Linked DNA regions of Lytechinus pictus. The protein of the gene in region 2 purifies or fractionates together with the protein of the main gene of each other region. This does not show direct contact. Links are inferred from orthologs where the notes say so. Each region holds a gene or a part of one and is shown on either strand. Other genes may lie near its edges. The genes, in order: nucleolar protein 10-like and protein AATF-like.

Evidence for each region.
Region 1: the proteins of protein AATF-like (region 2) and nucleolar protein 10-like purify together in Homo sapiens (affinity purification with mass spectrometry; 4 studies listed by BioGRID and IntAct, counting the BioPlex papers as one, with this or other methods). This does not show direct contact. The link is inferred for Lytechinus pictus from reciprocal best matches to the Homo sapiens genes AATF and NOL10.

The regions. Positions count from the first base shown.
Region 1 is NC_087261.1:27,013,391-27,030,588, forward strand, and holds the start of nucleolar protein 10-like, read right to left. Parts: upstream 7,937-17,198; 5' UTR 7,499-7,936; coding exon 7,433-7,498; intron 1,871-7,432; coding exon 1,825-1,870; intron 366-1,824; coding exon 267-365; intron 1-266.
Region 2 is NC_087250.1:8,035,895-8,052,898, reverse strand, and holds the start of protein AATF-like, read left to right. Parts: upstream 1-10,779; 5' UTR 10,780-10,798; coding exon 10,799-10,928; intron 10,929-15,885; coding exon 15,886-16,044; intron 16,045-17,004. UniProt on the Homo sapiens protein: Part of the small subunit (SSU) processome, first precursor of the small eukaryotic ribosomal subunit.

The DNA.
Region 1 (17,198 bases), on a different chromosome or scaffold from region 2:
AGGGGCCATTCCACTATTCAAATCTGAAATCACAATTTAGTTTCAATTTTCAATATCAATGCATCTTTCAATCTTCACATTATCACATATATTTGTAAGGAAATTTTGAGATCAAGGCAACACATCATTTGCATTTGCATTTGTTTTTTTTCCAAGTATACAGTGTACCGGTATGTACGACAGGAATAGGATTTTTAGAAAATATAAATACAAATATAATACAAGCACACTGGACATAAGATTGTTAGAATACTGAAGTTACTGACCTGTGGCCAAAATATACTGTCCATCGGGAGAAACTTGAACACACCCACTGACTGTGGGCATCTCAAAGTCTTGGATGAGTTGGATCCGCTTTTGAACATCTGTGACAAAAAAGAATTAGATAGACATGTATTTCACTAATTTCACACCCTGTATTGCTTCAGTATTAATTCAATGATGTATTTGCGTTGAAACATGGAAAATGCCACTGGTAGGTATCCTTTCAAACTCTGTGGAATTCTCTTCCATGTCAGAGTAGGAAAACCCATACTTCAGTGACCCCCTTCAAGGGCAACCTGAAAACATACAGTCTGTTTAAGAGTGCTTTTTGACAGACATTGACTTATTGTTCAGACATGTATTATATATAAATAATTTCTGTTGAATTGTTCTGCTCTGAAGCGCCTTGAGCATCTACCGGGTAATCAAGATGGAAAGTGCACTATATAAATCTCATGTATTAATATTATTATTACTAAACCAATTATTCATGTCTAGAGAGAAGACTAGATGCCAAATCCTTTGTCTTTGTCAAATAAAGGCAGCCAGAGTACATACATGTAGTGAATCTAGTTTCACTACTTCAGACTATGCATTATGCAGTATGTGAAAACCAAAAGCCTGTGCCAAGGCAGCCATGGTACATAGCAAATCTAGTCTCACTTCTTCAGACTTTGCGATATGTACTATGCGGATTGCGAAAACCAGCAGTCTGTGCCTGCAGACTAGAGTGTACCATAGTGAGCTACAGGTAGGTGATGGTTTTCCCTTACAAAATAAAATCATGCGTAAAGGAAAATGATTTATTTTTTACAAAGGGACTTGCAAAGCAAAGAAAAATCTTGCTTGGCTGTAGATAGAATCTGCAGAAATAATGCATTGAGAAAACTGGGCAAATACTCATCCCAGGTCTTACAGAATACAATAATTTACATTTTGTAAAACATTTAATCTGTTTCATGGATAAAAATATAGAAACATAAAAAATCTGATTGGCCATAGAATCTGTAGACAGCAGTTGACACCAAGTGCATTTACACCAGTGATCCAACTTCATGCATGTTGAGTACCGGTAATAAAAAAAAAGCAAATTGCAAATATTCCCATGTTCATCTAAACTACTTACTTTACTTCATTCCTGATAAAGGTAAATGCCAGTCGTGGTAATGATCTCAAAATGAGTTCAAACAGAATCCAATGAAATTACCATCAGAGTGCCAAATGACTCTGGTAGAAAACGTGTAATTGCTGAGAATTTCTGGTATTTTTTTAGGGAATACAACATGTAATACACTGTCCACGTTTGCTTTTCTGTGTTAGTAATCATCAGAATTATCAGTTTTCAGCTAAGCTTTCATGATTTCACAAAGATAAGTTTACGTTAATGTACCAGATGTAGATAAATGATTATGTTGCAACCATTAACCTTGATCTAAAAGACTTTGTCATGAAATAATTGTTTGCCCTAACTACTTTCTTTTCCCTTTAAATATTCAACATATAGGGCAGCGAACATTGTACTACAAACATGTCTATAAATAATATGAAACAGGTGCTTACCATGGTCAGACTTTTGTAGTGCTCTTTTCTTCCTATCAGACAGCCACTGTGGAAAAAGAACAGAGCGTGAGAGAGACTTAGTTAAACTGAAACTTCTTGGCCCAAATTCACGAAGGTTGAACTCAAAGTCATTTCCTGTATAAAATTACGCTTTTAAATGTCCAATGCTGATGCACGTTTGTCACAGTGTGCCAAATTGATGCGAGCTGCTGTGGTCATCTTCACTATTTCATATAAATATAATAAAGACTACCATCAATACAATACTCGTTCCCACTCTAAATTCCATTATCCTGTAGCGTTCAATCAGTCAACCCTTTATTCATTTAAATCCACTGGTCCTCGAATATGGAATTCCCTCCCTTCCAATGTAATTTCTAGCACAAATGTTACTGCATTTAAAACAAAACTCAAAAGTTCACTTGTAATTATGTATGCTAATTAATCACATAATTCATTTCCACACCCTTTTCCTGACCCCCTCTCCCCTGTAGGTTTACCGTCTTATTTCTTATGTACTGTTTGTTATTGTTACCTTTTCACTTTTATGTACGTTTATATATATACATGTATGTATTGGGTGTCCCACTCATCAAGCTTTTGCTTTTAGGGGCACCCTAATCATTTAAACTATACTGTACATTCATGTATGATTTTGTATATATTTTGGTTTGTATATTTATAATTTTTTAAATGATTGAATAAATGAATTGAAAGGAAATGAAATTCATAAGTCCATTGTTTTTAATTAATGGGTTCACTATTTGGGGGGGGGGGTGCACTGTGACATGGGTTCAAGCGATGGTTTTTAAAACCTTTCTGAATTTGAGTCATTGAAATTTGAATCAAGATAGACCTGGAAGCTCAACTGCTGATAGAACATGCATTCTTCCAGTGTATTTGTGTAAATGTTAAAGGGGAATCCAGCCTTGGCCATAAAATGTTGTGTTGGGAAGGAGAAAAATAAATTAAACAGAATGGCAAAAGTTTGAAAGATATCGGACAAGCAATAAGAAAGTTATAGCTGCTTTAAAATTGAGATCACTAATACTATGTAGATTTCAAATTGGCAACTGGGTAAGTAAATTATGACAAGGGGCAAGGACAACTTTCCCATAGGCCATGTACTTTATTATCAGGGATTTGTGGTTTTCTCCTAAGTACCCATTCCCCTGGGGCAGTAATCTAAATATAATCCAGGTAGTATATTGTTTTATGTCCTCATGAAAGAAAAATATAATTTGAAATAAAACTTTTGGGAAAAATTACATTTTAGCCATAATATGTATTGGAGTACATTGAAGAGTAGTCCTCAGTCAGACTGCAGGTCCCAAGAAAGTGGCTTCTTTCATCCAAGTGATATTCATGACTTGAGATGTTTTGCATATTTAATGAGCTTGATGCGGACCAAAACACCTCTTTTCATTCGGTCATTGCTGCTCTAATTATGCATCGAATTTCATGAATTTGGTACCATTGTAAAGAAGAAGAATCATTCTTTCAGGTCATGTGTTTGGATTTATTCAAAGATTTTGTAATATAGGTTAAAATTTTGATCTAAAATATGCTACAAAATAAATATTTTCACCTGACAAAAGCTGCTATTTTCACACTTTATTTTTGTTTGAGCCCAAATGATTTTTATATCATGATAAAGCTGAATATGTATGCTTTGAAATGATATAGGTTTCAAAATAAGAATTGGTTTAATCGGGTCAAGATCACACTTTTCATTTGCCAAGTACATAAAGCAGCTTGAAAACAAGTATACTGCACTCTGATTGGTCAAAAAGACCACACAATGGCAAATTCCAACGGTTCCAGTGCCTGGGTTCGTGGGAAGGTCACACTTCCCATGTGGTAATCTCCTCAAATACCCCGCGCCTGTTGTTCTGTGAACCTTATCCAGCCAATCAGTACTCTGGATTTCATGCAAGTACAAAATTTCAGAAATCTCGTCTTGTACCTTGGTGGGAAAAGTGTGATCTTGACCCGATTAAAAGGTGCCGCATATCAAGAGTGGCATTGTGAGAAAGTACAGAAGTTCAGCTTTATGGTGATATAGATATCATTGAGGCTCAAAATAAAAAGTTTTGCACAATTTGCAAAAGAAAACAGAGGAAGAAAATTCAGTTTTGAGGCACAATTTCAGGCCAGAAATTTACTTATTTAACAAAATGTCGTATACAAAATAAATGACCAATATGAAAGAGTAACTTTTACTCTATCTGATGGTGCAATAATATTTCATTTAACTTGAGGTTAAAACAGGTAAATTCTTAGAGAAAGAAAATCTCATGAATCACGAGATTTTGCAAGGAGGAGGATTCAGCCACGAGATGATTTGGATGAATCTGGCCTTTTTGCTCATTAGCATAGGGACCTGCGGTCTGACTGGTCCTTGCCTTACATCACTTTGACATCCCATATGCAGCCAATTTGAAGTCTCCATGGGTATAGTGATTACCAATATTTACAACTTTTAAAAATTCATAACTTTCTTGTTGTTTGTCCAATATTGTTCAAACTTTCACCTATCAACTTGTCTGATTTTTCTTTTTCTTATAAAAACAAGTTTTTATTTGGGTTGGATTCCCCTTTAAGAGACAGAGAGAATGAGAAAGATATAGATCTATGTCAAGAAGGGGGTAGTGCACACTGAGAACCTTCCCCCGCCCCCCCCCAAAAAAAAACAATCACTTACTAGAGAGATCAGATACTTGAAATCTTATTACCCCCAAAAAATATTGTACCATCGGAGAGCTTGTGAAAAATGATGGTACTTAAATCGACCAATTATTTGAAATATTGAAGATTTGTGTTTAAATTATGAGGGACATACAAAAGTCATCAGTATCTTTGTGACATTTTCTTTATTACTTTATTACCGGATCTACTGGAAAAATGCAATTACTTATGCAGTCGTGTTTCCAGGTCTATCACTGTTGCTATCTCCATCTAACTATTAAAATAATGTGTGCCTGTGTGCTGTGCCAGAGTTACTATTCCCAAGGGTGAGTATATTGCACTGCAGACCAAAACTTGTCTAACTGTGACTTGAATCTGTTCAAAGTTGATGCAGTAACTATCTCTGCCGGCAAGGAGTTCCATTCATTTACAACTCTGGCACTGAAAGTATTTTTTCTAACATCCAGTCTGCTTCTCTTCACATACAATTTGCATGGATGTCCACGTGTCGTCTGAGTTGATGCAGATGCACCCATGGGTACATTACCGCCGCCGTGCACAGGATAACCGCTGGCACGGCACTTGCAATAATTTTTTTATTCTTTTGTAAAAATTAGAAATTTATCTACATTTTACATGAAGTAAGCTTTGGATATGAAACTTACCAAACGATATGAAGCCAATTTCAATTCCTCTCTGTCTTTCTGGTACTTTATATCGATGATTTTACTTGATGTCGAAGCAGGCATGCGGCCAATTCGCTGGTTTTCTCTATACGCACAGAGAGGGCGCGCGATATTATTTAATAAACTTGCTTGTTTGCGTCGTTTACGTCAGATCAGCTGTACTGCTGGTTGCGTTCTAGGCGCTCCGCATTTTTTTCGCTGTTCAGCGTTATTTTATGATGTAGCGCTATCAGCGATTATACGTGAGATGCCTGTTGATTTTTTTGGTACAATTTCCTATTATGCGCTGGCGACTTAAATCTAGACTGTTCGATAAGAAAAATTCGCATTTCGATTGTTGTTTGCGTAATTTCCACCGCAGTATTAAGGATCGGACGGAGTATCTTGGCTGAGATTTGAAGGTAAGCGTTTAAAATCTAGGGACAGTGATTTTCCGTTTCAAAAAATTGCCTTTTCCGTTTCAGCATGTCAGAAAACGGAAATTCCGTTCTCCCATAGACTTTGTACACACGGAAAAGTGACAATTCCGTTTACACATTTACATGCACACTCGCACTGGTCAAAATTTGTATCTGCTACTGTACCAACAACACAATAAAATCCGTTCTAATCGGATCTATGCGGGTGAATAAAATATTTTAACACACCCATTTTGCATGCATACATCCCCACCTTTCATATTATTAGCATTATTTCACGGTGAAATGATATTTCATCGATAATTTTGGGGGTTTTTGGACATCGTTATCATCAGTCAACGTCTTTTCCCAATCCGCCATCTTGGATTTTAAGTCCACGATATCGTGCTGTTACATCTTCAAACGTAGAGGGCAGCAACACACAACTGTGTACATGTAGCTGAACGATACATGTGTGCATGTGAAGCCCAACCCGGCCGGCCGGGTACGGGTACGGTGCGGGGTACAATCGAGTGTGCTGATGTCGAGTGCAGTCACGATGTGTGAATTGTCATGATAGTAGCGAAGTGAGATCGTGTTTTCTGGGTTTTTTTGGCCATTTAATATTCTCATTTTGTTGTGATTTTGGAGTAATTTCTGTTGCTATTCTGTGTATTTTGAGGGAAAATACGTTTTCCGTGATTTTCCGTTTGAAATGCCATTTTCCGTTTCAAAAGGCCCTTTCCGTGAATTCCGTCCGTTTTCCGCGATCGCGGAAAATCACTGTCCCTAAAAATCCCTTTTTATGAATATTTTGGAGCATATTTTAAAAATTAATTCAATGAACAGATTTAGATGAATAAATTTAGTATATTGTGAAGATTTTGGCGTGTGTCATTCTCTCACATTCGTGTGATGAATGAAAACGTCAAAATTCATTATGAAATGACATGCGTTGTGCGAGGTTAGTACAACTAACCTCGCATGTTTTTTATGTGAGTGCCCTTGGGTGCTCTTTTCCAAATATTGCGATCAGGAACAGCTGTATTTCAGCTTTGGCAGTAGAGGCGCACGGCCAATATTGGAGACTGTCTCCAATGTGGGAGATTATCTCCAATATCAGAGACTTTTGTAAAGAATTTGGCCCATTTTGGGTATCCAATTTCAGAGACAGTCTCCAGTTTTGGAGTCCAATTTCCTTTGTTTACATTTGCTGCAAAAGGATTACCTTGGCGGCAAATAAAAATGTGATAAGCAGATTCTTCATGAAAAATTACCCCTTTTCACCGTCTTCTTTTGTTTTGATAAGGAATTTTGTTGAATGTTGTCAATCACACACAAAACAAATGGGCTTCTGACCTCAGGCTCAGCCTCAGTGAGACAAAATTTTGGGTGGAAAAAATCATGCTTTTGTTGGTGTTGTTTCTTTTGTCCTTTTGCAAAGCAAGTCTCCAATGTGGGAGATTGTCTCCCCTATTGGAGAGAGAGAGTCTCCCATATTGGCCGTGCGCCTCTACTGTTTGGTCTCGATGTCGTTCGAATCCTCAGACATCACTTCGCGGATCGCTTGGCCTTGGCCTTGGATTCGCGTGCGCCGTAAAGTCTGAAGCCGAGTTATGCGAAACTGCATTAGGCCTAGTGCCCAGTAATTAATGCAAATTTCTAACGAGAAGCTGTTAGGCCTAACTAAGTATTTAAGTTAAATACTTACATGTACTGATGTAAGTTAGGCTTTTAAATTTAAGTAAAAAACGATTATCATGTAACCCTACAAAAAATGATATAAGTGGGACTGAACTGAACAACCACGCAAAAGAATATTTTGTAAGATCTTACCTCTGGTAAGCTTTTACCAGTGCTTAGGTTGTAAACCTTGACATTATTTGCAGAAGAAACTTGCATCCCTTTTACGAACACTAACGTCGAATATAAGAATCAGGATTTTCGTTCACAAACACGACTGTCTAAAGTTTGCAGCTTCCACTGTCCAGGTTGCAGATGGTAGACCACGTGCCTAATGACGTCAACCATTATCTACTGAATATTCATCAGCGCTGGTAGCCGGTCTCTAGCTCTGCATGCTAGGAGGGGGGGGGGGGGGGGAGTGTGTATTATTGATCCAGTCGTAGAGTACAGTATGTCTTGTCTTGGAGAAAGTCCCCAAATCCAAAAGTGGGGATTATTAGAATCACACCTACCAGAACGCATGAAAATCACTTCCTTTCTCCAGAACACAGTCCCCAACTCTCGCACAACTCTGTGGCAAAATGATAACACACACAAATGAAACACACACTGTATATAAACCAAACACTAGGGTTCTCTCCCTATTATATACTCGTGATCCAGTCCCCACTCAATGGGAAATCCAGTTTGATTTTCACGGCGGTGGGGACAGTTCCAACAGTATAGTATACTCGTGATCCAGTCCCCACTCAATGGGAAATCCAGTTTGATTTTCACGGCGGTGGGGATAGCTCCAACAGTATTCATACTCGTGATACCGTCCCCTCACAACATAAAATCGTGCTCGTTCAACAAGGGGATGGGGACAGTTTCCTGATGCATTGTGACAAGGATAAAACATCTTAGGGTATGGCTGCGGAAGCTGAGGGAGGGGGGGGGGGGGGGGGGGGACTTCAGCCCCTACCTTTTTCCAAAACATTGTGAATCCTTCTGAACTAAAATCCTATAGAAATGCCTTCATATATAGCATAAAAGTGCAGTCTTTTTTCCAGACCCGGTTAATTAAAAATTGTAATATAAGTTCAAAGTCTTTTTTTCCAGACCCGGTTGTTAAAATTATAATATAAGTTCAAAGTCTTTTTCCAGACCCACTTTTACAAATCATTTCTCAAAGAGTAAAAAAGTAATAAAGATCCCCAATCTCTTATTATTGTTAAATAACATGGAAATATAGCGTAGTCTTTCCTCCAGACCCAGTTATAAAAATTGTTAAAAACACAACAAAACAAAAACCCTGCAATCTTATCAACATTGAATAGCACGGAAATATGGTGTAGTCTTTGCTCCAGTTATTTCAAAATAGGAAATCACGAGAAACAATAAAAACAAAAAACAACATTAATTAACCAAGGCCCCCCTAATATTATTGATGTAGAATAACGTTGTTGTTGTTGTTGTTGTATTATTATTTATAATTTTGGAATAACAGGGTTTGGAGAAAAGACTAAACTCGATTTTTAATTTTTATTCCACTGGAATATCATTATGGTATCTTAGTTTGGACTTATATGATAATTTTTGAAACAACCGGGTCTGGAAAAAAAGACTTTGGACTTATATTATAATTTTTAATTAACCGGGTCTGGAAAAAAAGACTTTGAATTTATATTACAATTTTTAATTAACCGGGTCTGGAAAAAAGACTGCACTTTTATGCTATATATGAAGGCATTTCTATAGGATTTTAGTTCAGAAGGATTCACAATGTTTTGGAAAAAGGTAGGGGCTGAAGTCCCCCCCCCCCCTCCCTCAGCTTCCGCAGCCATACCCTAAGATGTTTTATCCTTGTCACAATACATCAGGAAACTGTCCCCATCCCCTTGTTGAACGAGCACGATTTTATGTTGTGAGGGGACGGTATCACGAGTATGAATACTGTTGGAGCTATCCCCACCGCCGTGAAAATCAAACTGGATTTCCCATTGAGTGGGGACTGGATCACGAGTATACTATACTGTTGGAACTGTCCCCACCGCCGTGAAAATCAAACTGGATTTCCCATTGAGTGGGGACTGGATCACGAGTATATAATAGGGAGAGGACCCTAGTGTTTATATATACAGTGTGTGTTTCATTTGTGTGTGTTATCATTTTGCCACAGAGTTGTGCGAGAGTTGGGGACTGTGTTCTGGAGAAAGGAAGTGATTTTCATGTAGGTGTGATTCTAATAATCCCCACTTTTGGATTTGGGGACTATATCACGATCATGCCGAAACGAGAAAGGATAGGCTATACATGACAGGGGCCGCGGAACAGTTTTCAAAGTGGGGGGGGGGGGGGGGCTTACCATGCAAAAAATCACAATCATATGGTCATTTTTACGTTTTTGTACACGGTTTTGGAAAAAAGTGGGGGGGGGGGGGTGTTGCACCCACAAATGTAATAACGCCCACAAATGTAATAACGCCCACAAATGTAATAACACTTTACCCACAAATGTAATAACGCCCACAAATGTAATAACACTTTACCCACAAATGTAATAATTTCACCCACAAATGTAATAATGCACTTTACCCACAAATGTAATAATTTTTGATCGCCCACAAATGTAATAATGACTTTACCCACAAATGTAATAAATTTGAAGGGATTTTTGGCGAGTCCGTTCTAAACTAAAATCCTATAGTAATGCGTTCATATAGCACAAAAGTGCAAAGTCTTTTTTTCCAAACCCGGTTAATTGAACATTATAGTACAAGTCCAAAGTCTTTTTCCAGACCCGGTTGTTTCAAAATTATAATATACGTCCAAAGTCTTTTTTCAGACCCGGTTAATTCAAAAATTATAATATACGTCCAAAGTCTTTTTTCAGACCCGGTTGTTTCAAAAATTAGAATATAAGTCCAAAGTCTTTTTTCCAGACCCGGTTGATTCAAAAATGATAATATACGTCCAAAGTCTTATTTCCAAACCCGGTTGTTTCAAAAATTGTAATATAAATCCAAAGTCTTTTTTCCAGACCCGGTTGTTTAAAAAATTATCATATAAGTCCAAAGTCTTTTTTTCAGACCCGGTTGTTAAAAAAATTATAATATAAGTCCAAAGTCTTTTTTCCAGACCCGGTTGTTTCAAAAATTATAATATACTTCCAAAGTCTTTTTTCCAGACCCAGTTGTTTCAAAAATTATAATATAAGTCCAAAGTCTTTTTTCAGACCCGGTTAATTAAAAAATTATACTGCAAGTCCAAAGTCTTTTTTTCAGACCCGGTTGTTTCAAAAATTTTAATATAAGTCCAAAGTCTTTTTCCAGACCCGTTTATTTCAAAAATTATAATATAAGTCCATACTAAGATACAATAATGATATTCCAGTGGAATAAAAATGAGAATCGAGCTTAGTCTTTTCTCCAGACCCAGTTGATTAAAACTAGTGGACTTAATGTCTTTGTTGTTTTTTCAACTTATACGGCATATATTTTGAATATATGCGCTAAGAGAATCAAGCGTAGTCTTTTCTCCAGACCCGGTTACTTAAAACTAAAAACTAAACCCTATAGAAATGCGTTCATATAGCACAAAAGTGCAAAGTCTTTTTTCCAGACCCGGATAATTAAACAATTACAATATAAGTCCAAAGTCTTTCCTCCAGACCCGGGTATTAAAAAATGAATTTATAAACTTCAAATCTAAGACCAATTTTCCAAAGTTTCACCCAGTAAAAAAGTATGTCTTTTCCCCACACCCAGTTTTTTTTTTCAATGATACTAAGACCCCTACAAAACATTGTAATAATGCATGGGTAAAGCAAACATCCTTTCTCCAGACTTGGTTATTATTTGAAAAAAATAAAATAGTTTTTACAAATATTCTAAAACGAATACCCAATAATCTAATTACTGTGGAATTACATGAAGACCGATTGTCGAAGATCGACTTTCCTCCAGACGCAATTATTTCAAGAATAAAAAATCAATAAAACCCAACCCCCAAAACGAATCTTAGAACCAAAAATCCTCCAAATTAAGACCATGCATGTAGAAAAGCACATGTTTAGAGCGTTGTCTTTATTCCAGACCCAGTAGTTTAAAAATGATTTAAACAATCTTAAAAACAAAAGACTTTGTCATATTCTTATTCTTGTGGAATAACACGAGTATTATGCTTAGTCATTCGTCTAGACCCGGTTATTTAAAAGATAAACAAATATTGAAAAAAAATCACAGCTAAGACCAATCTTCAAAATTAAAACCCACTTAAAATGCTTGGGCTTAGAGTGTTGTCTTTACCCCTCACCCAGTTCTCTTTAAAATACAAATTAAGCGAAACATTAATCTTAAAACTTAGACCCCAGCATCTTCCAAACTATAAAACCCTTGTGATAACGCATACTTAATTTGACCAGACCAGTTTATTAAAAAAAAAACAGAACAAAAAAATTTAACCCTCTTCCAGCCTAACATCCTGTAATAAATGATGTAATTAAACATTCATTTTGTCTTCCAGGCAAAGAAATTTATTATTAAAAAAACAACATCAAAACTTAGAGCCCGGGGAGCATTTCATGAAAGGAGTTGTCTGACGTTTTATCCGACACTGGTAGCACTGCTTCTTAGCCAATCAACATCAAGAACAGTTGTCAGATCTGACAACTTGTCGGACATAAATGTTGATGAAATACTCCCCCAATCATCTTATTCATGTTGAACAGGCACAAGAATATGATTGAGTCTTAGTTATGAGGATTTCATTTATCTTATTTTTAAAATGACAAGGTCTGGAATAAAGAAAACTCTCTAAACTTTTATTTATTGAAGGTTCTTAGTTTGAAGGATAGTTGGGCCTTAGATTCTGTTATTCTTTTTTAATGATTTTGGTTATTTTGAAATAATTGGGTCTGGAGGAAAGACTACATCATATTTCCATGTTATTCAATGTTGATAAGATTGCAGGGTCTTTGTTTTGTTGTTGTGTTTTAAATGACTTTTATAACTGGGTCTGGAGGAAAGACTACGCTATATTTCCATGTTTTTCATCATAAAGAGGATCGTGGGTCTTTGTTTGCTTTTCTTTATTAATACTAATTTATTATTATCATTCATCATTTCTTATTTGAAAGATCTTGGTCTGGAGGAAAGACTACGCTATATTTCCATGTAATTTCAACATAAATAGGATCGTGGGTCCTTGTTTGCTTTTTTTATTATTACTAATTTATTATTATTATTATTCATTTTGTTATTTGAAAGATTTGGGTCTGGATGAAAGACTACGCTATATTTCCATGTTATTTAATATTTACAAGAGAGTTGGGGACTTTGTTACTTATCTACCAGTTTTAATTAACTGGGTCTGGAGAAAAGACTAAGCTCGATTCTCATTTTATTCCACTAGAATATCATTATCGTATCTTAGTTTGGACTTATAATTATTTTGAAACTACCGGGTCTGGAAAAAAGACTTTGGACGTATTTTATAATTTTTGAAACAACCGGGTCTGGAAAAAAGACTTTGGACGTATATTATAATTTTTTTACCACTTGACTGCTATAGGCTGTAATGCGCACTGGCCACCCTGGTGCTACTGAATGGGACTAACAAGTTAGATCTATTTGGGACTACAACCGACAGCAACTTGGGAGGAAAATTATAAATAATTACATCACTTTCCTCATCACTATTTCCAATATCCATACAAAAAAATCACCTTCCCCTTCTGACACAGATCTTTCACTAAATTTATTACTCCTATCGTCTAAACTTTCCTTAAAAATCCTTCTGATTCACTTCTCCACTGCGAGTCGCCATTTTGAACTGAGCGCCGTACACTATCACTAGCTATGGAAAAGTGAATACAAACATTTATAAATCACTGCAAAAGTTTCGATAACTTTTGTGGAATAGCGCCATCTGGTGACCATAGTCTGAAATTTGATATACATCCGCTGTTTTCATCGTAGGGGTATTAACAGCGCGGTGCTGAGGCCTCAAACAGAAGATAGGTCAAGCACGTAATATTACGTGCCCCGCACAGATTGTACACTCGCCCAGCACGTAATATTACGTGCTACGCAGTCAAGTGGTTAAACAACCGGGTCTGGAAAAAAGACTTTGGACTTGCATTATAATTTTTTAATTAACCGGGTCTGAAAAAAGACTTTGGACGTATATTATAATTTTTGAAACTACCGGGTCTGGAAAAAAGACTTTGGACGTATTTTATAATTTTTGAAACAACCGGGTCTGGAAAAAAGACTTTGGACGTATATTATAATTTTTTAAACAACCGGGTCTGGAAAAAAGACTTTGGACTTGCATTATAATTTTTTAATTAACCGGGTCTGAAAAAAGACTTTGGACGTATATTATAATTTTTGAAACAACCGGGTCTGGAAAAAAGACTTTGGACTGATATTATATTGTTTGAAACGACCGGGTCTGAAAAAAAAGACTTTGGACTCGCATTATAATTTTTTAATTAACCGGGTCTGAAAAAAGACTTTGGACGTATATTATAATTTTTTAAACAACCGGGTCTGGAAAAAAGACTTTGGACTTATATTATATTGTTTGAAACGACCGGGTCTGAAAAAAAAGACTTTGGACTCGCATTATAATTTTTGACACAACTGGGTCTGGAAAAAAGACTTTGGACGTATATTATAATTTTTGAATTAACCGGGTCTGGAAAAAAGACTTTGGACGTATATTATAATTTTTTAATTAACCGGGTCTGGAAAAAAGACTTTGGACGTATATTATAATTTTTGAAACAACCGGGTCTGGAATAAAGACTTTGGACTTCTATTATAATGTTTGAAACGACCGGGTCTGAAAAAAAAGACTTTGGACATATATTATAATTTTTGAAACAACCGGGTCTGGAAAAAAGACTTTGGACGTATTTTATAATTTTTGAAACAACCGGGTCTGGAAAAAAGACTTTGGACGTATATTATAATTTTTTAAACAACCGGGTCTGGAAAAAAGACTTTGGACTTGCATTATAATTTTTTAATTAACCGGGTCTGAAAAAAGACTTTGGACGTATATTATAATTTTTGAAACTACCGGGTCTGGAAAAAAGACTTTGGACGTATTTTATAATTTTTGAAACAACCGGGTCTGGAAAAAAGACTTTGGACGTATATTATAATTTTTTAAACAACCGGGTCTGGAAAAAAGACTTTGGACTTGCATTATAATTTTTTAATTAACCGGGTCTGAAAAAAGACTTTGGACGTATATTATAATTTTTGAAACAACCGGGTCTGGAAAAAAGACTTTGGACTGATATTATATTGTTTGAAACGACCGGATCTGAAAAAAAAGACTTTGGACTCGCATTATAATTTTTTAATTAACCGGGTCTGAAAAAAGACTTTGGACGTATATTATAATTTTTTAAACAACCGGGTCTGGAAAAAAGACTTTGGACTTATATTATATTGTTTGAAACGACCGGGTCTGAAAAAAAAGACTTTGGACTCGCATTATAATTTTTGACACAACTGGGTCTGGAAAAAAGACTTTGGACGTATATTATAATTTTTGAATTAACCGGGTCTGGAAAAAAGACTTTGGACGTATATTATAATTTTTTAATTAACCGGGTCTGGAAAAAAGACTTTGGACGTATATTATAATTTTTGAAACAACCGGGTCTGGAATAAAGACTTTGGACTTCTATTATAATGTTTGAAACGACCGGGTCTGAAAAAAAAGACTTTGGACATATATTATAATTTTTGAAACAACCGGGTCTGGAAAAAAGACTTTGGACTTGCATTATAATTTTTGAATTAGCCGGGTCTGGAAAAAAGACTTTGGACGTATATTATAATTTTGAAACAACCGGGTCTGGAAAAAGACTTTGGAATTGTACTATAATGTTTTATTAACCAGGTCTGGAAAAAAGACTTTGCACTTTTGTGCTATATGAACGCATTACTATAGGATTTTAGTTTAGAACAGATTCGCCAAAAATCCCTTCAAATTTATTACATTTGTGGGTAAAGTCATTATTACATTTGTGGGCGATCAAAAATTATTACATTTGTGGGTAAAGTGCATTATTACATTTGTGGGTGAAATTATTACATTTGTGGGTAAAGTGTTATTACATTTGTGGGCGTTATTACATTTGTGGGTAAAGTGTTATTACATTTGTGGGCGTTATTACATTTGTGGGCGATTATTACATTTGTGGGTGTAACAGGGGGGCTGAAGCCCCGGCCAGCCCCCCCCCCCCCCCGCTTCCGCGGCCCCTGCATGATACTCTAAACGTCATTCTGAAAGGTAAAGTCTCCCCCAGAAAATTGCTGATTTGAATCGATCGAGAAAAATCCTACAAGCACAACGTACGCTGAAAATTTCTTGAAAATCGGATGTAAAAATAAAAAAAGTTACTATATAGCAGGGGCGTAATAGGGGTCGGGGGCCAGGGGGGGGGGGGATAGCCAAAAATGTCCTGGTCATATCATGGTATGAACGGGCAGTGGTGTTTATTTAGGGGGCACAATTTACATAGCAATGTGGGGGGGGGGGGAACAAATAAACAAATCGCCAGAGAGCGAAGCGAGCCCGAATTTTTTTTTCCATTATACAAAGTAAATAACATATTTCATTGCTTTCCATTCATGATTTTCATTACGTTACCTCCTATATTTACTTATATTTCCCCTCGGATGTGGAACCAAGACCCCCCCCCCCCTCCCCCTGAACGCCAGAAATTAGGGTCCATACAGGGATCGAGCTGTTATAGAGCCCTTTATCTCTGTTATGATCAAGGTAAAAGTCAATGCTCAGTACCATCTATTGGAACCTCCGACATCCAGGATGACAGCAAGTGTTTTGTCAAAATATGCTAATTCAGGGGGCGGAGAGAGGTAAATACCATTAAACAATGGATTATAGTCAACCCCACATGATGTCGTAACTATTCTGGTATGCATAAACAGATAGCCTGACCCCACAACCATATGGTTAGACACCACAACCAGGTAAAAAAAACTAATAAAAAACAAACAATAAAATGAAGGAGATATGGCTAAAATTGCGACGTGCATAATTACATGTATAATACAGGCATGTGATGTTTATAATTTATGTTACATCGGGTTACATCATGTATATCAGCTGACAAGCAATCAAATTCACATGACAGATGTCATATATAATTCTAAACCTCAGGAGCTCACTTCTATGACACTATAGTTTATAAACAGGCCTTGTTATATGCCATGGTGGTCAATGCATGGACATAAATTATGTAGTGTAATATGTACAGTACTGTCAATGTAGCCCCTATGGATAAAAAGCATTTTTTAATTCAATAATAAGATATCTGCAAAGCCCAATTTAGAGGAATAAAAGCAAAATTAATAGCTATATGAAACTGCTTGCTCGTGTTCAACTCGTATCGTCTAATATATTTAAGAACCACAAGATGATGAAACCTACTTTTTGGCTGAAAAGGGGGTCTAAAAATTTGTAAATTTCAGGTAAAAATCACCTCTTAATCTAAAAATAATGGTTTAAAACAACTTATTTTTTTGGGAAAAAACAAATTGCCTGCCCCCCCCCCAAAAAAAAAAACACATTTGGATAGACACCAAAACCAGAGAAAAAGACCACCAAATAAAAAAGTTGTGGCCAAAAACGTGATTTTGGAGGTTGGGGCGGCCATTTGGGATTTTGGCCCGGCAAACTTTTTTCTGGGACCCGAATTGAAAAAAATATTGTAATTTCATGTTGAGATAAGATAAAAGGAAAACAAAAAATCATTATTTTATTTGGCATTTTAATACAAACAAATCAGAGACAAGATCCGATGATCAAAATTTTACATGATAAAGAAAATAAGACCTGGATGAGAGTTGGAGAGGCTGCCTGGGTATGGAAAAGGCTAGCTTAA
Region 2 (17,004 bases):
GGCAGTTTCAAGGAAAGCAATTCTGAAAGATAACTACGGACTGGGCCATTCAATGCTTTAAACACCAGTAAAAGTATCTTAAAATTCCACAAACTATTTTCACATGACCAACTTCAACCCTGGATTTAACACTATACCCTACCCTAAACCTAACATAAACCCCATTGCAACCCTAACCCTATATCTTAGAGGAAATCAAGCCCGGAGCAATTGTAGCCAGAGCAAATGTTTAGGCACTGCTCAATTCATGATCAGTGTGCGTAGATGCACCTGATAATTTTTTTTTTCCTGGGGCTTTTTTTAAAGCTCACCGGTCCAATTTTGCTTCATTGTAATTACAATTTATATTAGACCCTATGGCCCGTATTCTGAACTCGGTTTTGGATTAAACCCTGGTTTAAAGTTGTAGTTTAACTATGGAGAGCCAATTGGGGCACAATTCTCTATTAGTACATGTTCAATTTATTAACTCTTATGACACTCAAATCATTGATAACTCTCTCAGAATGATAACGTAAAGTATTTTTCTTCATTATGAAAGCAAAGGGAAACAAAATAGTAAATATAAGAAATATACAATATGAGCAGAATTTTTCTGGTCTTTAGCTCACCATAATTTTAGCACAGAGTTAGACCATGGTCTAAGTGAAACCTGACTTCAGAATACGGGCCTTTGGGAATGTCAGGGTCTCTTATTGAGTTTTTCAGGGCTTTGTAGGGCATTCTGTTTCTGTAAAATGTGGAAATTGCATTTAGATTCTAGGCCTAGATCTAGATCTACGCTACCATTGAGTACCTAGAATGTAAATTAGATCCAGCTTAGGCCTAGATCTACATGTATTTCAACAATCAAATAATGCGAACGCGAAGCGCGAGCTGAAAATTTATGACATTTTGACCTAAAAATTTGACATTCTAAGCACTCTTTGTAATCGTATACAGAATAGGTATATTACTAAACATCTCATGCGAGCGTGAAGCGCAAGCGAAAAAAATGAGATCGAGACCTAAAACGGGACACACTATTCATGTTTCGTAAATCACAAAAGGATGACTATGACATGAATAATGCGAACGCGAAGCGCGAGAAGAAAATTTTTGAAATTTTGAAACTGGATAATTCAAGCGCGTTTTGAGTAAAGAACAAACTGCGTGTTTTTGAGATTTAGACCTAGAATCTGGGCATTCTAGATACATTTCTTTTATTATGAAAATCAATAAAGCGCGAGCTGAAAAAAAATTATGGCGATCTGAAGACGGTCAATTTAAGCACTATTTCAAGCATCGTAGGAAAATTGTGAAGTGGATATTTCTGTTTGTTTCTGTTTATGGTAACTCCTGTAGGAACTCGGCAGGACAGCGTTTTGCTGGTAAACGCCAAGCTGGTATATAACCAATTACCTCGGAAGCATTTTACGTCTAGGTTAATCAGTCATAGTGGCTGACGTTATAGACGACAGATATCACCCTCGGGCCTTTTTATCCAAGTGGAGACAATGGCAGAGTAGGGATTCGAATTCACAACCTTGCGATTATGAGTCCAATGCTCTAACCACTGGACCACACGACCCGATTTCATGGGGAACTAACCCCGAACCTCCGTGTAATAATTTTCCCAGGGTAGGGTAGAAGACAGGGTAGAATATTATTTAATTGATATTCAAATTATTTCCAAGTTTTGTAAACTCCTTGTAATATGCAGCCTTTTAGCTGCCATGTGTGGTTTATATGAACAGATTTATCTTCACGTTCAATGAATGCCTTTGATAATAATACTCACCATTAAGAAAGTGCATAATACAATGTTTCTAAGTGCTACACATTACATGTTAATGTTAGGTCATGTAAAAGTAATCAGGTTACACAGGGGCCGCAGAAGGGGGGGGGGGCTAGGGGGGATTCAGCCCCCCCCCCCACTTTTTTCCAAAACCGTGCACAAAAACGTGGAAATGACCATAGGATTGTGATTTTTTGCATGGTCAGCCCCCCGCCCCCACTTTGAAAACCTTTCCGTGGCCCCTGTTACATGTATTATATACAGATAGATCACATACCTGTATAAATAAGGTACACCCTAACCGCACTCTCCAGGAGCTGAAAACAATGGATTTCAGGCTTATGTTGATTTCAATTTTACCTGTGAAATTCGTAATCATTATTTATACTTTAATAACTCTGAATTTGCAATATTTGTACATGTACTCTTTATGTATGTTAAACATACCTATGTATTTATTGTTGTATATATGTTATCATGTGCGTATATACTTGTTTTGTTTTTATGCATATGACACCAAGTGATACCAGCATATTGCTAAATGGGCACCTGAAGTAAATTATTGTTCAAATATAAAATAAAGTAAATTAATATATATATATATATATATTATAAACATTCATTATTTGTATAATATGTGTTTACTATAAAATATATATTTATGTTAAGAGAGGAATCTCATCTTTGATATGAGATCAACATCATAGCAAATCATTCGCGGATTGCAGATTGCAAGCAATAAATATCGAGGCATGTCAGAAGTGATTTGCGCAGAACTTCGCGTGTGAATCTGAATCCACTCTCATTTCAGGGATCAGTGACAATAACTTAACAAAGAATACAAAAGAAATGCTAATAAGCCAATCGTCAAATAAGCATGGTCATTGTATCATTAAACCAATCTTGTTTAACTTTTCTGCGCAACCTGATTTTGACATTAAAATTTCAAACTCGTCTTGCTCATTAATGCGTCAGTGAAGTGTTCATCTCATATCAGGTATCAAAATGAAGAGGAATAATTGAATTGTATGATGATGTAAATTAAATATCATAATTCATTTTCCTTAGAAGAAAAAAGACATGGGAATCGCGGCTTCCTTTTTTTCTGCGATGCACTGGATATATCTGGCTATGATAAAAAGGTGTGGCCTTCAAGCTAGGTAACTGTTTGATCATGTGTTTGGTTATATATATCAGTGAATAAATTTTAGTCAAATCTTACTATACAGATCATTGTTTCAATGGCCATTCATATTACCGGTACTGAGAATGTACGTAATGAGGAGTTACACAAAACAAAAAAGATCATCAAAATGCTATTGATTATATCAATATTTGATCGCATGGCTGTAAATATATCATTGAATAAGTTTCATTCCGATGTTGCTGTGCAGAGTATCGTTGCAATGAATGTTCGTATTACTGAGAATGTATGTAATGAGGAATTTAGGAAGAAGAAATGATAATCATATAATGGTATTAATTGTATCAATGTTTGATTGTGTGGCTATATATATATTAATTAAGTTTATTCAAATCTTACTATGCAAATCATTGTTACAATTAACTTTCATATTACTGAGAAAATGCATGATGAGGAATTGAACAAGAAGACAAAATAATCATAATATCAATTGTATTAATTTTTTTATAATGTGTCGATCTGTATTTATTTAAATAAATGAAAAGTATTCAAATCATACTATGCAGAGCATTGTTACAATGAACGTTCAAATTACTGAGAATGTAGTAATGAGGAATTTAACAAGAAACAAAAGTAATCATGATGATAATAAATAGTGCTTAATAGTAATAACACATTTACAGATCACCCCTGTCATTGGATCCTGGTATGCAGTTTTTCACAAATACCTACATGTAGGCTTTTGCATCATACATGAAATTGAGAAGACTTATTAATGCTTGGAAGAAGTATTCTGTCCTATTGTAACAAAAATATCTGTAGTTAAGAATAAAATGAGACTTTGTTTCTGTTATGGTTACTCTAGTCTAGACCAATGTATAATAGCATTGGGGAATCCCCCCCCCCCACCACCACCAAGGCTATGCCCCTCGCCCTTCTCATGGTCCAGGAGACTTTAACACCCTTTTTTATTCAAGTTTTGGCCTTGTTCTTGTGCTATAATTGAGAAATGTGTTCTATAAAAAAGGACCCTGAAAATATCAACATTTATGGCCCCCCCCCCTCCTAAATTTTGAAAATCACATGTGTGGGGTTCACACAGTTGTACCCCTGGGGAGCAATTCATGAAAGGATTTGTGGATGTTTTATCCGACAGTTGCCATAGTAACAGTGCTTCTCGGCCAATCAAAATCAAGGAAAGTTTTCAGATCTGTCAACTTTGTCGGATGAAAATGTTGATGAAATGCTCCTGTGATCAAAGATAATGGAATGAAATCATGTTTATACATGTATTTCATATTGTACCGTATGTATTAATAGGTGTTAATTCTAAGACACCGTTTGCCATCGCCAACTCATGTTATTATACTTCAGATTGCCTTGCCAAATTGTCATCCATTTTTTAATTATTCTACTTCAATCTGTTTGCCAGATATACATGTATCTTCTTGTCATTTTTATACTGTAAAAAATGGTTGGTTATTATTGTAAGATTTTGAAATATATTTTCTACTTCAATATGGAGCAGAATAAATAGAAGACATGCATGTAAAATTATTCATATGATTATGTTTTAAGGTCAATTCCTATTCAAGTTGATAAGAATAAAGAAAAATTTATAGCATTTCCTTTTCTACCAAAACCTAATGGACCTACTGGAATAGGAAAAATAACATATACTTTTAATGACATTGAACTCAATTTCTATTAAAGCAAATAAACCTTTACATGTATGAATTCTAAATAACAATGACATTTGACTTCATGACAATGAAGTCAAATTAAAAATAATAGTACTGCTGTATTGATTTTGTAATTGTATATTCAGGTTGATCATTTATAATATAAATATTTTGTTGCTTGAAATAGAAATCAGGAATCAAAATCCTCCAAAAATTCATTTTGCCCAATTGATCGTGGGCGTGGCAGTCTCTGAGCAGAGCCAGATAATTAATGTTTTGTGTGATGTTTATTATAAACCAGAGCATCATCTGAGTGTAATTTTCAATAATCGGGTATTTTTTATCCAATTATTGAGTGTGTGATGTGTATTGGAACCCAGAATATAATCTGAATGCACGCATGATTTAATAATGAGATTGATTAGGTTCAATTATGGTGTGTGTGTGGTGTTTTGTAACGAAGAAAATAATCTAAGTGCATTTTTTTATTATACTGATTGGTTATTATGTTCAGTTATGGTTTGTGCTTGAATATATATATATATATATATGGGGGCCAGGGTTCGATTCCCGGCAGAGACATTTTTTCGGCATAACCAATTTTTCCAAAGGGAAGATAGCTCTGGGAAACCTTGATTTAAGCTACGCCTACCATTGTTCTCTTCATCCATTTCTTTCACTATATATATATATATATATATTTGAGTGCAATTTTCAATAATCAGATAGGTAATTGATTATGTTCAATTATTGCATACATGTACATGTGTGATGTGTTTTATAACCCAGAAAATAATCTGAATGCGTGTTTTAATAACTTAGTAATCAGATTATTGAATATGTGATGTGTATTGATATTATTTAATAAATAGGGGAGACCGGGGTTAGTTGGAACATTTTTGACAAAAATGGCTGTAAAATCCAAATAGATTTTATTCGAGAAACAATAAATATATCAGCTTGAAGCATATATCTCAGGGCTTCAAATGTACCCCATAAAATTTTTAACTCTATTATGGTTACTGAAAAAATCCACCTTGAACAAGACTATCGCAAACGTTCCAACTTACCCCCATATCGGGGTAAGTTGGAACATGGTATGGGGTAAGTTGGAACACTGCATGGTCAATTAAGAATTATACTAAAACTACTTAAAACTGTAATATTACATGGTTTTAGCCTATTTGCTTTATCTTATTCAAGTTCAAAATATTAAAGTGTGGATTCGTTGAACTTTATGTTTTCTATTATACAGCCACTCACGCAAGCAGACTGTGTAGTAGAATTCCGCATATTTGGGTGCGTTTGAGTTTACATGCAATTAAGTGTACTATCAGCAATTTCATGTACTTCTGCATCAAATTTATGAGACAAAAATTGATTGTTTTTATTTTTTTCATAATTAATTATGCAAATAAGCATATAAAATTTTCCAGAAATTTGTTTTTTTTTGTATGTTTTTGCCTTAAACTATATTTATTAAGCTAGTAGAATTTTTGGTGAGAGTATCAATTTTCACATTTATAACAAATATCCACCAAAAAATGCAAAAAATATAATTTCTTATGTATTTTTTTTTTTTCGAACTTTGTTTTCTCCGATGGACTTTGTCAGGAGTCTTTTGCGATCATAAATAGCATAAAATTAATCTATGTGAACCAGCAAAAGTAAAAAATAATCATACATTTATGACTTTTGGTTGAAAAACGCAATTTGCATTGACCTTGTACATGGAATCACCTTTTTGAACAATTTTGGGTCCGAACATGCACATACAATTTGTTGCGTAATTTTTGTTGCGTAATTTTGAAACACAGGCATCACAAATTTGGTCTCAAATGATGCACAAGACTTGAAAGTAAAAAGTCAGCTAGCAGTGTAATAAAAAAAATTCGTGCGACGGCGTAGTGACAAAATTTCTTGAGGGGGGCTCAAATTGACCCCCCCCCCTTTTGATAAGGGTTAACATTGCATTAGGTGCCTACAATAGGCCTTAAATGCACACTCAGACCTAACTGATAAACAAAACAAGCATGGTATACAATACATGTTCAGAAGAGTGTGAAATACTTTGTTTTTTTTTCTCATATCCAATATTTTCATTCATAATTATGTTTGGGGTAAGTTGGAACATGTTCCAACTAGCCCCTTCAATTTTGTTCCAACTAACCCCGGAGGCTCATTTGACGTTTATAAGCTTACAGCACAAAAAAGGGACTTCACCATGGCATATTAATAACCTCATTTTGTAGCTTGGTATAAGTGTCTATTATACCCCTAAACTGGCCAACTTGATCTGTAAACTTCTCTGAGATAATCAAACATTTCTGAACGAGAAAAAATTTACTCAGAAGGTCAAAAAACAAAAATTTGTTTCTAACTTCACCAGGCTTGTTGCACATGTGTTGTCTGTAATATGGTGGATGGCCGTTGATAATGACAATAACTTGAGGGCAGTATTGCAGAAATTTATTTAAAGACGTTAAAGAAAATTACAATGTTTCAACTTACCCCATGTTCCAACTAACCCCGGTCTCCCCTACTGCTAGAAATTGTATTGAATCAACCGAGATAAAGTAGTCATGCATTGTCTTAAAATGCATACTTGCCTATAGTTTCTATTTCGTACATTGTAAAAACTCCGGTGTTGATTTAACACCAGCACGGAATATATATGTCCACACCAGAGAAGTATTGAAACAACACCAGTTTGGAATCAAACTGATGCTGTTTTAATACTAATTGGTGTTGTATAAACACCTACATGTATCTGGTGTTAGACCAAAACCAAACTGGTGTTGTTTAACACTTGTCTCGTGTGGACTTATACAGATTCCGGGCTGGTGTTAAATCAACACCAGAGTTTTTGCAGTGTAGGGACAATCCCTAGAGAGGAAGAAAAGAAGTGACACTTTTCACCCCCTCACTGCCTTGTGTTTTTTTGTTTTTGTTGAAAAAGTGTCTGTAGTATTGTGTATGATATTAAGCAGTACTTTTATCTATATTTTTTTACCCTTTCTTTATCATTTACCGTATTTGCATATATGGACCGACAGGCTTTGCAAGTGAAAAAAAATGCAATGAAAGTTCTCTTACGTGTATTAAACTAGAAAAGATTTGAAATATAATGTTCTATAACTCATCGATTTTTATTTCTTTCTCTACCTCGTGCATAAGGTTTTATCATGACTGGCTTTCACATTTTAATATGTATATTGTACTTATACCTTTCTACATGCACATGAACATTCCAGCTGCCACGGTGGCATAGTCTGCATGGCACAGACACTTGGTTTTTGCAATTCGCATAGTGCATATTAAATAGCGTCTGAAATAGTAAGACTAGATTCACTATGTATTGTGGCTGGCACAGACAGAGAGCTTGACATATAGTCTTCAATCTAGACATGGTATGATTGGTCATAAAATTTCTAATATGAGTCTGCTTGCAGACTAGCTGTGGTCTGGCGGTTCTGACTCTCGCGTTTGAAACAGAGGTTCATGGGTTCAGATCCCAGCCATGGTTTACATGTAATTTCCTTAAGCAAGAAATGACTCCACATTGTGCTGCACTCAACCCAGGTGAGGTGCATGGCAGGGTTGGGCTCAATTTCTTCAATTACAATTACGATAACAATTACGTAATTGAAGAAATGTTCAAATACAATTACTTTTCAATTAAATTACTTTTTTTTCATTTACAATTGCCAATTGCTTTTGTCAATTACAATTACATTTAGTTATTTTCTATAAAAGTCATAAATGAAATTAATTTGTATTCTGTACGTAGCACCACCTATTTCAATATAATTCTAAGTTACAGAGAAACTATGTGTTAAAGAGCACCGATTCTGCCTCTTTCTCTCTTTGATGCTGAAGCAGTTGACATGTAAAATGTCATGAATTTAAATCATAAATTAAGTAAGTTTATTGTAAAGTAATAAAATGTAATTGACAGTAATTGAAGTCAATTGCATTTTTTTTTCAATTACAATTACTTTTCCTTTCAAAATTTCAAATACAATTACAATTACTAATAAAACGTAATTACTTACATAATTGATCAATTACCTTGTAATTGTGCCCAACCCTGGTGAATGGGTACCTGGTCACGATAAATTCCATCAATGCACTAGGCACCGTTAATATTAACAGCTGGAGCTGAAGCTCGGGTAATATATAGTCCGCCAGTGAATGGGCAAATATAGAGAATCACTGCCTCATAAATATTGTGTATTAACTGAAAAGAAGATCGAAATTAAGCAACTTAAATAACTGGTTACAACACCTACAATCAGGGAAGATGCATGATGCAATTTAATACTTTTTCATGGAAAATTTTAGAATAATAAACAAATCAGAAAATTTTTTCAATTTTTTTATCAGACAAATATTTCATTCAATTTATCTGCTTGCTTATTCATTTTGCCATTTATATGATTTTCATGTATTTGATCACTTCTATATCTTAGCATTTATGGATTCCTTTCATTGTTTGTGTGTGTGGAGGGACAATGCAGATATGTATTTTGAGATGACTATTTGATATTTGTTTAAGAAATGTTATTAATATTTAGTGATTAAGACAAAGGATTGACCGTCCTGTGTTTGTGTGATTTGCAATCATTTAGTAATCCTTAGTCAATTTTGCAATTGGCTGAATTTGTTAATAATAAAAACAGAATTAAAAAAGTCAATCCTTTGGATTTGTACATCAGATATATTCAGACTAAAACTCATATATGTTTTTATTTGAAAGCCTTACTTTTGTTTCTCTATAAATTATTTTATACCCTTTGTTTATACTTTCAAGTAAATATTATGTATATTTCGTTCAGATGACGGTCTAGTTGGATGACAATGTGAAAATGAGGAATAAATATTTGATGTGATTTCTACTTTGTTATGACTCTTTTGTTCTTGTTGTTGTTGCCCAACATGGTGCATTTGGGGGAGGTTTATTTCCAATTGGTCCAATGCCAGTTCGTCCAATATTGCCAACTCGTCTACTCTCATTTGGTCTACCATCAGTTCGTCCACTATCCACATGATTGTTAATTCTTCTACTAGGCTCACCATTTTGTCTAATAACCAGTTGGTCCAATAACTGTTTAGTCCATATACCATTTGGTCTAATTGGACCAAGTGTTAATTGTGCAAAATGAATGAAAATAAAACGGATATTGGACCAACTGATTATGAGATGAAATGGTCATCTATAGACGAAATAGTGATTAGATGAAGTGATGATTGGAACAAATGGTCATTGGACCAAATGGTTGTTAGACGAAATGGCATTAGACTAAATGAAAGTAGACCATGTGTTGAGTGGACGAGTTGGCAGTAGACGAATTGGCAATTCACCATCGGGGAACTTTGGCGGGAGGTGTGGTTTAAATTAAAATGGAAATCCATGGACTCTAGCAAAACATTTATTTGAATAAAAAGAGAAAAATCAGCCAAGCATGACATTAATAAGTTCAATCGAAATCAAATGTAAAATGAGAATTTAATGACATTTTGAAATTTCATTTATTTTTCATAAACCACGATGCAACTATACAGTGATATGCAAATGAGACAATGATGTGGGGGGTGTGGTCTAGTGGTTATGACTTTCGTCTCAATCAGAGGAATGTGGGTTCTATTCCCAGCCATGGCGTGTTTTCCTTCAGCAAGAAATATACCCACATAGTGCGAACCCAGGGGGTGTTTCACAAAGATTTAAGCCGGGATGACGTAAGTCGCACTTAAATGCCAATATGTGTACACGATTTACAACGCGCGAACTTATTGATCAATGTACACAGTATAGTGCGCGTCCTCATGACACGATCTGACCAATGAGGTCAAGCCTTTTATACTGTACGCACCTAGACAGGTAAATGCCGGGTACCATGCAGCGGTTGAGGATATTCACACCACAGTTAAAATTAAACGTCCATCAAGAAAATATTGTTCGAATCTTGCCCCCTTCCCCCCCCAAAAAAAAAAAATTGTTTAAATGTTGGCTTCGAGTGGACACCCATTCCGAATTGTTTCAATCCTCAACCGTGTTCTATAATTATATACAAAACAAACTATATTTAAGTATTATTGAATATGAGAAATAATTCCATTTCTAACTTGCTCTTGGAAGATACGGTGCTAAGTTGCACAGTACACGTACGTGTGCTACATTCAGCATTTAAATGCATGTTCGTGTGGGAAAGCAAATTTCACAAGCTACGAAAAATGAAACACAAACAAGTAACGCTTTCAGAGCAAATTCTTGCTTTGAATAATCCTACACCTGTAGATGATCCTATTGATTACTGGGATGAAAGTGAGTATGATATTTACTGAATAAATATTGTTCTATATAGATAATACGATACTGCCATTAAAGAGCAGTGTGTCATTTCAGTCCCACACATGTCATTTTGTGTAACCGAGATTATCGGGGAGCCACGCCGCCGCGAGTAGCAGCCGAAGGCGAAGCCAAGCAAACGAAGACACTGGCCAGGAGCTCTCAGGCGCAGGCGCCACTTGTTCACTGCAACCATCCTGCCTGTGGGGAATCTATCATTAAAATATCAGTTTTTTGACCAAAATTATTAATTTCCATACAGTTACCCTTCCTGGTGGAGTACTTCAGGGATTGACAGTAGAGGCGCTGGTCCAAAAATTGGGATTGTCCCAGAAAACAAGGATATCCTCATAAACCAAGACAAATCATGTCTTGATAAATTGAGACTGTCCTTGTTTATGGGGACGTTTTTTTTTCACTTCCCCCTACGGGACAAAGACAGCAATTACGGGAATTGAGAGTGCTAAAAATAGATTCAGTGACCTCAATTCCCCCCAGTTCACCGTCTATTTTTCATGACTTACTGTCTTCCAATAATCTTGTTATGAAACCCGATATGTTTACATTGACTAGCACACTTGATTGGTGTCGGCACTTGACAGGTGAATGAACTTTCCTAGATTTCTTGTGTGAAGAAATCCTTATAAACTGAGACAGTCCCTGTAAACTGGGACGATCCCAATTTTCTGACCAGCGCCTCTACTGATTGAAACTAGGCCTACAAGGTAATTTATTTTTCATTAATCATGACATCAGTAACTTGGGAATAATTTTTGTATTCACCGGAGCGTTCAAAAACTTGAATTTTGGGGATATTTTTGTGTACGCCCTCTATTGGTGGAAAGTAATATGGCAAGAAAATTTTCATTTTTCAATCTCTATTTTAATTCAGAAAAAAATAATTTAAAGAATCAAATTTACGTAAGAGCGCAGAGCCAAGTTGTATGATGAATAGGTGTAATGGAAACTCTGTAAAAAAAATCAAGCATTTGTCCCAAAGAAAAAGAGAAAATAAGCCAAATATTGCCACCCTCAATATTTTGCCACACATGGAGATATAACAGAGAACAAGGTTATATCATAACCTTGTCCATTGAATGAGTGTCGGGCGCCTGGCTAGAATCGCGAATTTGATTAAGAGACTTGCTTTGACTTTTGCGATCAATTACTGGCATGACTGGTGGATTAGTTCTAACACTAAAAACAGATCTATCTCGAAGTTGGCCAGTGAGTACGAAGCCAAAACTGCGCTGAGGCTGAGCTGTGTGTGTGTGATTTGGAATTCTTGAATCTTAATGATAATGTTTTTTTTTTGTTATTTGAAATTGTTACTTAATCTTGTTGTGGTAGGCACGGCCATAGCGCACTAATCAGTGGTGCTCTCGCGGATATGCACAAAATTTGTGTAGGCGCGTCGGTTTGCTTATCAGTCAGAGGCGCACGGCCAATATGGGAGACTCTCCAATAAGGGAGACAATCTCCCATATTGGAGACTTGCTTTGTAAAAGAACAAAAGAAACAGCACCAACAAAAACATGATTTTTTTTCCACCCAAAATTTTGTCTCACTGAGGTCAGAAGCCCATTTGTTTTGTGTGTGATTGACAACAGAAATCCTTATCAAAACAAAGTAGACAGTGAATTTTTAAAGTAGACGGTGAAAAGGGGTAATTTTTCATGAGGAATCTGCTTATCAAATTTTTATTTGCCGCCAAGGTAATCCTTTTCCAGCAAATGTAAACAAAGGAAATTGATCTCCAAAACTGGAGACTGTCTCTGAAGTTGGATACCCAAATTCTTTACAAAAGTCTCTGATATTGGAGATAATCTCCCACATTGGAGACAGTCTCCAATATTGGCCATGCGCCTCTACTGGCCAATATGGGAGACAATCTCTCATATTGCAGAGATGCCAACCCTCCCGATTTCATCGGGAGGCTCCCGAAAATTCATCCCAACTCCCGCCCTTACGATTACCATCCTTATCCTCCCGAAATTACGATTTTTTTTTGCATTGATCAAATTGGATTGGAAGTACATGTATCGTCTGCTAACTTTAGCATGTAGTAACTCCATTACGTTTCGCTGCTACTAAATTCTGTGTGAAAGGCAGACAAATAAGGAGCAGCGAAAAGCTGGTGCATGTGATATGCCCAACGGGAATCCACTGTGCACCAGGCCGGTAGGCCCGGCTAGCTTCGCGAGGCGTGTGCGCTCGCGGCCGCTGGATTTGTCGAGTGGTGCGATGGAATATCGGTGTGTGATTTCGGCGTATTGATGGGTTGATATTGACACGAAATGGCGGAAAATCAACAAAAAAAGACCAAGAAATGGTCTCAGAAGTATAAGACTGAATACAGTCTCCAGTACCCGTGTATTCGGAAGTCGGAAAGAGGAATCTACCATGCATTTTGCACAATTTGCAGCGTGGACATTAAAGTTGAGCACGGAGGTCGTGATGATGTTCGGAAGCACGTAGGGAACAAACGGCATACGGACATTGCGAAGACGAGATCTTCGAGCTCCACTAGTATACCCTGTTGACTTATTTCACCAAGCAAGGGACCAGCGAGGAGGAAGACGTTACCCGCGCTTTAATAATAATAAAGAGGATAATTCCTCATTATTATAGTTGAAAAGGTAGGCTACTTTTCTTCTATTGTCCCCTCATTTTTTTTACATGTAAAAATGCATATTTGATATTTTTATTTTTATGTCAAAAAAGTGGGAACAATGTTTTTTTAAAAACATGTGAAATGCTCCAAAATAAGGGTCAGATTGCACCAGAGAGCATCTAGAAACCCAGAGCTTCCAGGGCCCTAAGGCGGGCCCTCGACCCCGGCCGCAAGGGTCGAGCGCTCCGCGCTCGAGATGTGCGCTACGCGCACATAATTTGGTGTCGGTTGCAAATCCTCCCTAATTCTGATTTCCAAAAGTTGGCATCTCTGATATTGGAGACTTGCTTTGTAAAAGAACAAAAGAAACAACACCAACCAAAGCGTTATTTTTTCCACCCAAAATTTTGTCTCGCTGAGGTCAGAAGCCCATTTGTTTTGTGTGTGGATAACAACAAATATCCTTATCGAAACAAAAGTAGACGGTGAATTTTTAAAATAGACGGTGAAAAGGAGTAATTTTTCATGAGGAATCTGCCTATCACATTTTTATTTGCCGCCAAGGTAATCCTTTTGCAGCAAATGTAAACAAAGGAGATTGGTCCCCCAAACTGGAGAATGTCGCTGAAATTGGATACCCAAATTCTCTCTCATGGGAGACAGTCTCCCATATTGGCCATGCGCCTCTACTGTCAGTGCGTTGATGCCCAGTTTGGTGCCAATATTATGGCAAATTGTAACGACTAACGTTTAAGTCTATGGCAGGGCGGAGGAATACTCAATTTCCCCCTCTGTGATTGTACCCCTGTACAATGCATACAGCGGCATCGTAACCGACTGGATTTTAGCTAGATTTTGATACCAAATTTAGCTTCGAAATCCAACGTAACCCGCTCAAAATAAGCTCAAATCTATCGATGATTCAGAGAATCTGATAAGCTCATTTTACGTTTCACCACTTTTTTTTCTCATTTTATGAATTTAGGGTTTGAATGGGTCCATAAATATGGATCGTCATCGAAACTTGAATTGAAGTTTCGATGTACATGGCTTTATATAGACCTGCGCAGGGAATCGCCCTATGCATACTGAAGTCCTAGATATAGGCTTGCAATTGCATGATGATGTTCATGGATTTTCCTGACGTGCGGCACGATGTTTACACACGAAATATGTATATTACGTCACTTAAAGTGATTGGTTAACATTGGTTTGACTTTTTAAAAATCTGAGCTAGAAGGTCACACTTGTCACCTGTGTCTGTGATATGTTACAAAAACGAAGCCCAGAAAAAATTGCGTTCGAAAATAATTATTTAGTGCTTCAAAAATTGAAATATAAAGTGACCGAAAACACCATCTTAATTTCATCCCATACACTTATGTGTACTATAGACGCGACGCCTCTTTACAAAATTGGGGTTTGCCTTGTAGTTTTAGCTTTTCATTCTCAATAATGGTTGTTTTCAGGGTTTATTAGTTCAAATACATGCACTTGTACACATGATTCATCTTGGTTTGAGGATTTTTTAAATCGGCTGCTCACAAAATTAAACAATACCTTTAATGTGCTTGCGCGCATCCGTGGAACATACAGTTGCAAGGTCAATTTCTTCTATGTAATTTTTGGCATATAAAAATGATATACTTTGCTACTTTTTCAAAAGTTATATGGAATTTCAGTAACTTTTAAGTAATTTTTATTATGTTTTAGGACTTGAGGATTATTGTTACGTATTTTTCATGACAAATTATAGAGCTTTGTAAATTTTAGGGTCCTACCTTCTTGTGGTGAGCTAAGCGATATCTGTCATTCTGTGTTTGGAGTTTGATGTGTGTGTGATGTGATTGGATGTACCGGCTTGTGGAAATAAGATTGACTGTCAATCTTGACGCGTACAGCATGACAGTGTGTACGTTACTTAACAGGTAGATCTATGTTACCATGGTTACACAGATAATTGTCTTTATAATCACTGAATTTACGGTCATCAAAGTGATAATAAAGTTGTCATGCAGTAAAGCTAAGCTTATCGTGGCAACATTTTTAATTACATACATACATGTAGATAATACAACTTTGTTCACTGTCTTGCTTGTAATTTGAGACACTCTTGAATAAAAATGAAATATTTTGTTACATACTCTGTTTGTTGTATTTTCTTTGTTAATTTGTTCTTGATAAAGTTGCAGAGATCAATAAATGAAAAGTAAAATAAAAATAGAAAGATTGTAAGTGATAATCAATGAATTGAAAGTTAAAACGATGATAATACTATAGAAACGTTAATAATATCTGAATTTGTTTTATTATTTCTAGACACTACAGCCAAAGTAGCAGAGTTTGATGAGGGAGATGAAGAAGATACTATTAAAAAGGCTCCTTCAGTTTTAAGAAGAAAGACTGCTCATCAATCGATTGAGGAAGATGGGAGATACACGGGACTGAAGACCTCGAGGAAACAATGGTCGTCATCAGGTCAGGAAACTGGGTGGGGTTTCACAAAAAATTGAAGTATGTCTAAGATGGTGTTGTAAGAAAATATTTGCAATCAAATGAAACAAATTCTGTCGCAAATTTTACAACTGAGAGATCAATTTTAGGTGTACTAGATCTGGGCCCCATATTACAAAGAGTTACGTTTGATCCGATCAATCTCAACTATATGGAAATCCATCAGTGTCATAATTTTTTCTACCGGAAATTTTCACAATGCACTTTGTGAACCAAGATAAGCACACTGAATTGTCAAGAAAACGATGAATGTGTGAATATACATCATATCCAGAAAATGTTTTGAATAATTATGCATTTTAGATGTTGACATTGCTGGCCTTCCATAGATGTGGTTGATCGGATCAATCACAACTTTTTATAAGACGGGGCCCTGATTACACTCTATGTTTCAAGAAGCAGATCAGCTCCCATTTGCAATTAATTGCAAGACATATGATTGATTTAGGGACTGAAAGTAGACTTACAATTGATCTCAAGTTTCTTGCAACACCCCATTAGTGTCGCATCACCACGTTGGTCAAATTAGGCCACAAGGATGCGTGCCACTGCGTATTAATAAGTTTGCGCGTTACTTAATCATGTGCTGATCAGCACGAAGCATGACTTAGTTGGAATCACTCTTAACTCTCTGTGAAACATCCCCCTAGTTGATCAACTTTGACTGCTTTTATACTTGCTTTACAAAGACATATCAGGCTTCAAGATTCAATATTTTTAAGGGAAATGCTACTTTCTCATTGGGTGCATTTCTATATTACTGCACAAATGGGTGAAAAGTGAAAAGGTTTTCATCAGGTCTACTTGGGGGCAGACTGATTTGAATCGCCATTTAAACCGGGGATTATGATCACCCCTTTTACAGAAATTTGTATGTTATACTGGGTCTGTATCTTGGTAAAACCCCTGCTCAGATAAACCATG